2 linked regions of the Xenopus tropicalis genome follow. The protein of the gene in region 1 interacts with the protein of each later gene in a pairwise test. Links are inferred from orthologs where the notes say so. Each region holds a gene or a part of one and is shown on either strand. Other genes may lie near its edges.

Evidence for each region. The genes of interacting proteins can lie anywhere in the genome.
Region 2: the proteins of swsap1 (region 1) and zswim7 interact in binary tests that used the Homo sapiens proteins (3 or more experiments, as listed by UniProt). The link is inferred for Xenopus tropicalis from reciprocal best matches to the Homo sapiens genes SWSAP1 and ZSWIM7.

Annotation. Positions count from the first base shown.
Region 1 is NC_030679.2:140,123,077-140,127,222, forward strand, and holds swsap1 (ATPase SWSAP1), read left to right. Parts: upstream 1-1,337; 5' UTR 1,338-1,352; coding exon 1,353-1,709; intron 1,710-3,040; coding exon 3,041-3,460; 3' UTR 3,461-3,803; downstream 3,804-4,146. UniProt on the Homo sapiens protein: ATPase which is preferentially stimulated by single-stranded DNA and is involved in homologous recombination repair (HRR). Has a DNA-binding activity which is independent of its ATPase activity.
Region 2 is NC_030678.2:31,207,347-31,211,565, reverse strand, and holds the start of zswim7 (zinc finger SWIM domain-containing protein 7), read right to left. Parts: upstream 2,806-4,219; 5' UTR 2,606-2,805; intron 1-2,605. UniProt on the Homo sapiens protein: Involved in early stages of the homologous recombination repair (HRR) pathway of double-stranded DNA breaks arising during DNA replication or induced by DNA-damaging agents. Required for meiotic progression, hence for fertility.

The sequences.
Region 1 (4,146 bases):
CTGGGTACCCCTGGAACTATAGCAGGGTGACTGTTACCCCAATGTTTCTATATATCTGTAACCTTGTTATGGGCTAAGGGGGCCCAGCTTGAAGGCCAGTTAGGGGGGATTTGGGGTGAGTGCTTATTTGTGCCTGGGTACCCCTGGAACTATAGCGGGGTGACTGTTACCCCAATGTTTCTATATATCTGTAACCTTGTTATGGGCTAAGGGGGCCCAGCCTGAAGGCCAGTTAGGGGGGGATTTGGGGTGAGTGCTTATTTGTGCCCTGGGTACCCCTGGAACTATAGCAGGGTGACTGTTACCCCAATGTTTCTATATATCTGTAACCTTGTTATGGGCTAAGGGGGCCCAGCCTGAAGGCCAGTTAGGGGGGGATTTGGGGTGAGTGCTTATTTGTGCCCTGGGTACCCCTGGAACTATAGCAGGGTGACTGTTACCCCAATGTTTCTATATATCTGTAACCTTGTTATGGGCTAAGGGGGCCCAGCCTGAAGGCCAGTTAGGGGGAGATTTGGGGTGAGTGCTTATTTGTGCCCTGGGTACCCCTGGAACTATAGCAGGGTGACTGTTACCCCAATGTTTCTATATATCTGTAACCTTGTTATGGGCTAAGGGGGCCCAGCCTGAAGGCCAGTTAGGGGGGATTTGGGGTGAGTGCTTATTTGTGCCCTGGGTACCCCTGGAACTATAGCAGGGTGACTGTTACCCCAATGTTTCTATATATCTGTAACCTTGTTATGGGCTAAGGGGGCCCAGCCTGAAGGCCAGTTAGGGGGGATTTGGGGTGAGTGCTTATTTGTGCCCTGGGTACCCCTGGAACTATAGCAGGGTGACTGTTACCCCAATGTTTCTATATATCTGTAACCTTGTTATGGGCTAAGGGGGCCCAGCCTGAAGGCCAGTTAGGGGGGGATTTGGGGTGAGTGCTTATTTGTACCCTGGGTACCCCTGGAACTATAGCAGGGTGACTGTTACCCCAATGTTTCTATATATCTGTAACCTTGTTATGGGCTAAGGGGGCCCAGCCTGGGGATTTTATCCCCCTTTGGATAAACTCGTAGTTACACCAGATATTCCTGGGCAGTAGGTTAAACTTGAGAGGCTACTAACCTTTACAACTGTTATGCAGCTATGTGAATAACTAATAGGGCAGAATGACAACAAAACAAGGGAGACTGCATAAGATTTTCCACAAAAGCAAAAATCCTCTATACCGAATGTACCTCAGCAGAAACCATCTCAGTACTTGACAAGACACTGAGGTAAACCCTTCATTACACCCACAGACCAACACAACCAATAGAACTTCTCTCTTTTCGCTTACTGTAAACCGAGGCTTGACACGCATAATGCAAGTGTCTTCACTTCCGGACTTTCAGCCAATCAGCGCTACAGAGCTGGCTGCATGGGCTAAACCATTTTGCATGGCACAAACTCTGAGCAGGGTGCTGAGCGAGTTGTTGGGGTGTAAGGAGTTCCATAACCAGGGGGATCCCGGTACCAGTGTTCTGCCCGGCCATGTTAGCTCAACGGTTTCTTCCGTGCTGCTTGTCGGCCCCCCCGGCTGTGGGAAGAGCGGGCTCCTGTTTAGCGCCGCCCTTGTGGCCGCGGAGGAGGGTGCGGGGCCGGTAATATTTATATCCCGGGAGTCCCTGCAGCGGCTGCCCGGGGGTGGGAGGGAAGCCAGAGAGCCGCTCCTACTCAAGGTGATTCTATAGGGAAGGAGGTTTATATGGGGGGGCAGAGAGACAGGGTGTGGCTACCAGGGAAGGGCTGGGGGGCGGGGCAGAGAGACAGGGTGTGGCTACCAGGGAAGGGCTGGGGGGCCATGAGTGCAGGGCAGTAGTTTGTATTGGGCCATATTATGGGGGGACTGGGAACAGCTGTGAGGTGGGTTCTGACTCCGCGGGGTTGGGGCAAATGGGATGAGTGATTTATAGAGCCTTAAGCTGGCCATACACGGGCAGATCCTGCAGGTGCCCCAGCCGCGTCCCCTAACCCCCCCCCCAGGGGCCCCCCTAACCCCCCCCCGCAGGGCCCCCGCCTGACGTCCTCCCCGAGCGTGTATAAATTGAACGCGTCGGGGAGGAACAGTCAGTAGGGGGAGCGCCGGCAAAGGTCGGACTGGGCCGCTGGGGCCCACCGGGATTTTTCCCGGTGTCCCGGCGGCCCAGTCCGACCCTGGGCAGATCCGCTCGCTTGGCGATGTCGCCAAGCGAGCGGATCTGCACCCGATATCCCCACCTACGGGTGGCGATATCGGGGAGGCATGTAGGTGAATTCGATCGTTTGGCCCTGGGGCCAAACTATGGAATTCTGCACGCGGCAATGGGGCAGTCGGTTCGGGGACCACATCAACGAGCCGATGCGGTCCCCAATCCGACGGGATTTTCTAACCTGGCCGATCAATATCTGGCCAATTTCAGGCCAGATATCGGTCGGCCAGCCCGCTCGTTTATGCCCCTACACGGGCCGATAAGCTGTCGAGTCGGTCCAAGGGACCCATATCTGCAGCTACAATCTGCCCGTGTATGGGGACCTTTAGGGGAAGGACATATTATGAGGGGACAGATAATAGAGCAAAGTGCCAGGGAAGAATGTTAGTTTAGGGCAGGGATCCCCAACCTTTCTTACTCCTGAGGCATGGGTCATATGTAAAAAGACTTGGGGAGCAACACAAGCACCATAACAGTTCATGGAGGAGCCAAATAAGGGCTGTGATTGGCTATTAGGGGCCTCTATGCACCCTATCAGCTTACAGGGGCTTTATTTGGTAGCAAATCTTGTTTTTATTCAACAAAAACTTGCCCCCAAGTCAGGAATTCAAACATAACTCCCTGGTTTGGGGGCACTGAGAGCAACATCCAAGGGGTTGGGGAGCAACATGTTGCCCCTGAGCCACTGGTTGGGGATCCCTGCTCATGAGTGTATCCAGATGGATTTGCATAGCTTTGGTTGGCATGTCGTACTTGTAGTTATTTTTTTCAGCTATTGTTCTGTAGCAGTTTTTGATCTTAGTAATTTTTTTTCTTTTTAGCGAATCCGGTTTCTGTATCCTTCTTCTCTCAGGGAGCTTCTGCACCTTGTCTCGTCCATGCACCTCTCCTTCCCAGCTCCTTCTCTAATTGTGGTGGATGGACTGGAACGCTACCTCGCTCCGACCTGTGGCTCTGCTGATGGGGCTCTTATTTCAGGCCTTTTGCTAGACTCTGCTGCACACTTTAAGTGCGGCCTCCTGATATCTGCAGCACAACCTCTGGAGATGGGTGGAGATGGAGCATTCCTGGCCGTGGAGCGATATTTTCCAGCCCAGTGCCATATCTATGGCGAGGTGACAACTGAGCAGGAAGAGGGCACCTTTCACATAAGCTTCCCTTCCCATTTCCCACCTTGTGTCCTGCACACAGCAAAGGATGGTACTCTGAAAATATCACTTCCGAAAGCTTCATTTTCGTGACGGGATCGAATGTGAAAACTTACCACCTCATACTAAAATGTGTGTAGATCAGGGGTGCCAAGACTTTTTTCCGCGGCGATCGACTTTTGACTCCTCCCCGCGTACATACACATACCCAATAAACACGCGGAACCGCCGCACTTCCGCATTTCCCGGCTTCGACGCGGTCCACCAGAAATCCACAGGGGATCGACTGGTGGACCGCGATCAACATTTTGGCCACACCTGGTGTAGATGATAAATTCTTTCATGTTTCATGTATAGTGTTGATGCTTTTGCAACTTTTCAGAAAACATTGTTTAATGTAAATATTGTCAAAAAATAAAAAAATTTAACAACTTGACTACTGTGCAGTGATATTGGTATTTAAGCTGACTGGATATTGCAGTGGTTAGTACTATAATACTTCATGGACACCCAATTATTTTCACAGGAGATATTTGTAGTATTAAGTTTGGGTTGGTTTCACTATTCAACGCGAGGCATTTTCGGCGATTTGCCGAAATCGCGCCGCCGCGTGTGCCATCCCACCGGCAACTTACATTTTCGCCGGTGGGATGGCAACGGATGGCAACTTGGGGAAATAAGTCGCCCGCGAACAGGGAGATTTGTCGCAGGCGACTAATCTCCCCGTGTGCCAGAGCCCTTAAAGGTAATAGATCAGCCCCATTGTGTAAACTGTAAAG
Region 2 (4,219 bases), on another chromosome or scaffold:
TTCTCTATAGCCTGGATCTGTAAAAATGTTACATCCAAATTACTACACTGGACAAAGTGCCTAGATAATGGACTATTGCCATCTGTTGCTACTATGTGTCTTATATGTTCCCTCATATGACACTTCAAAGACCGAGTTGTGCAACCAACGTACTGCATTCCACATTTAGAGCAAGTCAAAAGATAAACCACGTATCGTGTGTTGCAATTAGCATACGACTGCATATCATAAGATCTACCAGTAACTGTACTATTAAAACTAACTGACTGCTTAATGTAAGTGCACGTAACACATCTGCGAGCTCCACAGCGATAAGTTCCCTTTACATTTAGCCAGGAAGTTTTTCGGGGTTGCGACTTCCATAGGGTAGGTGACAGTAAATTGCCTAGAGTAGGCACCCTACGGGCCACTACATTACAACCATCCTGCAATACCACCGCTAAAACTGGATCGTTATATAAAACCGGGATCAGATCATACAATATGCGCTTAACCTTATAAAATTGATTACTAAAAGCCGTCACAAAAGTAGGCAGGTCCCTGCTCTTTATGGTCCTATTATCACTACCCTTATTCCGATTCGCTAAAAGCTCAGATCTATCAGTACGTAAGGCTTTAATGAACGCTTGCGACAGTGATTTAATACTGTATCCCCGACTCAAAAATCTATCACGTAGATAAATCGCCTGTTCCAGGAAGTCGTGTTCTGTACTACAATTCCTCCGTAAACGGTAGAATCGTCCGAGGGGAATGCCTTTAAACATATGAAAGGGATGGCAAGAATCTGCCCTCAATAGCGAATTTCCGGAACAGGGTTTTCTGAATACTGTGGTCACAACCGAAGAACCTGAGACCGTAAGTTTCAAATCTAAAAAGGAAATAGAGTCCCTACTGAACTCACTAGTGAATCTTAAGTTCAGAGTGTTGTGATTCAAATAACCCAAAAAGTGCCTAAATTCTGATTCAGAGCCACGCCAAATAAACAAAAGATCATCAACATAGCGTTTGTAAAACACTATGTTAGATGAATATAAAGAACTACCTCCATAGATGTGGGACTCTTCCCACCAACCCATGTAAAGGTTGGCATAAGTGGGCGCGAACCTAGCCCCCATTGACGTCCCACATTTCTGGAGGTAGAATACCCCATCAAAAAGAAAAAAATTATGAGTAAATAGTTAATAGAATCTAAAATGAAATTTTTAGTGACTATATCATATGTGCTATAATTATCCAAGTGATAAGAAATGGCTTGCAAGCCCCTATCATGGGCCACAGTTGATGTGGCCTCACTGTATTCTTGCGTCCCACATGATAGGGGCTTGCAAGCCATTTCTTATCACTTGGATAATTATAGCACATATGATATAGTCACTAAAAATTTCATTTTAGATTCTATTAACTATTTACTCACTCATAATTTTTTTCTTTTTGATGGGGTATTCTACCTCCAGAAATGTGGGACGTCAATGGGGGCTAGGTTCACGCCCACTTATGCCAACCTTTACATGGGTAACTATGCATAAATTGGAGACAGCTTCAGATGACTTTTTTGCCTTTCCTTCAGCTTCATCTATGTTCCTTCTTTTAAAGGGGAAGTTTCGCCCTAATAACTTTTACCACAAAATCTGCATTTCAAAAGTCTGCGATTTCTCATTTTTTTAAAAAAAAAAATCTTTTTAGTTTTTTCAGAACAAAAATGAAACCGTACAAAATATATCTGTCATTATACACTAAATCCAAATTATCTCATACTTTTATTAAACCTTTTATTTTATTAATTTTCCACAGCTCCCTAGCAATCAGGGAGCAGTTATAAGGGCTTGAAGGTTCAATATATTTCCTTGCTGAAGATAAATGCAATGAATAAGACACAAGCTGAATTTTTTGCCAGTTTTAATTATGAAAAATCTGTGCTTTTTTGTTATTTCTTGAGCTAAACAGGGTTAATAAAGCTACTCCATGTTTAGCTCTTGTGAGGTAAGGGTCACAATGGGGAAAATGTAACTATTTGTCTGCCAAAGGCATCATTAAAAAGCAAAGTGATAGACTGCCAATGATGTAGCACATACTGTAAGTTTCAGGGTTTAAAAGGGTAGTTCACCCCTTGCAATTTATTTTCCTTTTTTAATTTTGTGTCATTTATGAATGATATCTCTTTTTGTTCAGCAGCTCTTAAGTTTGGAATTTCAGAAGCTATGTGGTTGCTATGGTCCAATTAGCCCTAGCAACCAAGCAGTGGTTTTAATGAGAGACTACAATATTAATGGGAGTGGGTCTGAATGTAACGTGAAGGTTAACTTCCCCTTTAAGGTTGTGCTATGGAATTACACATTACAATGCCCTTTTCCCAAAGCCCCCCTAACCTGGGGAAACTGCTGGAAGAGAAATGGCTAATGAGAGTTCAACGCTACAGTTATAAAGTGCTCACCCGTTTAAAAGCAAACCTCTAATTGGCTGCTATGAGTAACCACACCATGGCAATTCTGCACTACTAATTACATATCCCCAGCACAGATAGAAGACACGCTTAACTTTCCACACAGCGCATGTTCCAGAAATATGCATTTGTCTTGCACTCTATCGAAACGCTAAAACTCCTCACCTCCCCATACAGTTCACATTAGCACTTGCAGGTTCAGGTTTGCGCCAGGTACAATGGGCGGAGCTACTTGCAGCGATAAGTTCCACTCCTGGCAGAATATGGGCGCGCTGAATTTGTGTGACGCGGGCAAAACTCTCCTGGGTGCAGTGATTGGATCAAGATATCACGTGATGCGACTTGCCGCTTGCGGGGCCTTCTGGGTGTTTGGGGGGGGACTTTGGCAGTGACGTAGAGCAAATGGGTTGCGTTGTGGTGCGTACGGGGCTTCCCTCCAGCCTGGGAGAGGGATATAAGCGCAGCCTGCGGCGTGTTGCTAGGAGTGAGAGGGATATAAGCGCAGCCTGCTGTGTGTTGCTAGGAGTGAGAGGGATATAAGCGCAGCCTGCGGCGTGTTGCTAGGAGTGAGAGGGATATAAGCGCAGCCTGCGGTGTGTTGCTAGGAGTGAGAGGGATATAAGCGCAGCCTGCTGTGTGTTGCTAGGAGTGAGAGGGATATAAGCGCAGCCTGCTGTGTGTTGCTAGGAGTGAGAGGGATATAAGCGCAGCCTGCTGTGTGTTGCTAGGAGTGAGAGGGATATAAGCGCAGCCTGCTTGTGTTGCTAGAGTGAAGGGATATAAGCGCAGCCTGCTGTGTGTTGCTAGGAGTGAGAGGGATATAAGCGCAGCCTGCTGTGTGTTGCTAGGAGTGAGAGGGATATAAGCGCAGCCTGCTGTGTGTTGCTAGGAGTGAGAGGGATATAAGCGCAGCCTGCTGTGTGTTGCTAGGAGTGAGAGGGATATAAGCGCAGCCTGCTGTGTGTTGCTAGGAGTGAGAGGGATATAAGCGCAGCCTGCTGTGTGTTGCTAGGAGTGAGAGGGAGAAGCAGTGTTTAAAAAGGAAAGACATAAAATGATGATTCCGAAACTTAATTTTTTAAGTGGTTTGCGAGTTTTCTTGCCGCCTGGTTGGAAGTCTTGATGTTGATACAATTTAACCCGTTGAAAATTAAATAATTGTAAATTTCATATGATGGTGGATGTTTTATGGGAAATGGCCAAGATTGTTTTTGATACAATGTTTGTAAGTGAGCCCCGTAACTGAATACAAAGACACAATTACACGTTTGAACAGCGCTGTACTCTGTCTTTTATGCTCATAAATTCCCCCACAGTCACTGCTTCGCCTTAGAGGCTCCCTATTTGTGCCATATAGTTCCCCGGCAATATGGGATTATATGGGCATAATGTGGGATATATGGGCGTAACGTGGGATATATGGGCGTAACGTGGGATTATATGGGCATAACGTGGGATTATATGGGCATAACGTGGGATTATATGGGCATAACGTGGGATTATATGGGCATAACGTGGGATTATATGGGCATAACGTGGGATTATATGGACATAACGTGGGATACATGGGCATAACGTGGGATTATATGGGCATAATGTGGGATTATATGGGCATAACGTGGGATTATATGGGCATAACGTGGGCTATACGGGCATAACGTGGGATTATATGGACATAACATGGGCAGTAGGTGCTACATGTGCTCATTGGCACTAGCTCTATATGCACATCCCCCAGCATGGCACCCATGGGAGTAGGTTCCAGTCACAGAGGGCACA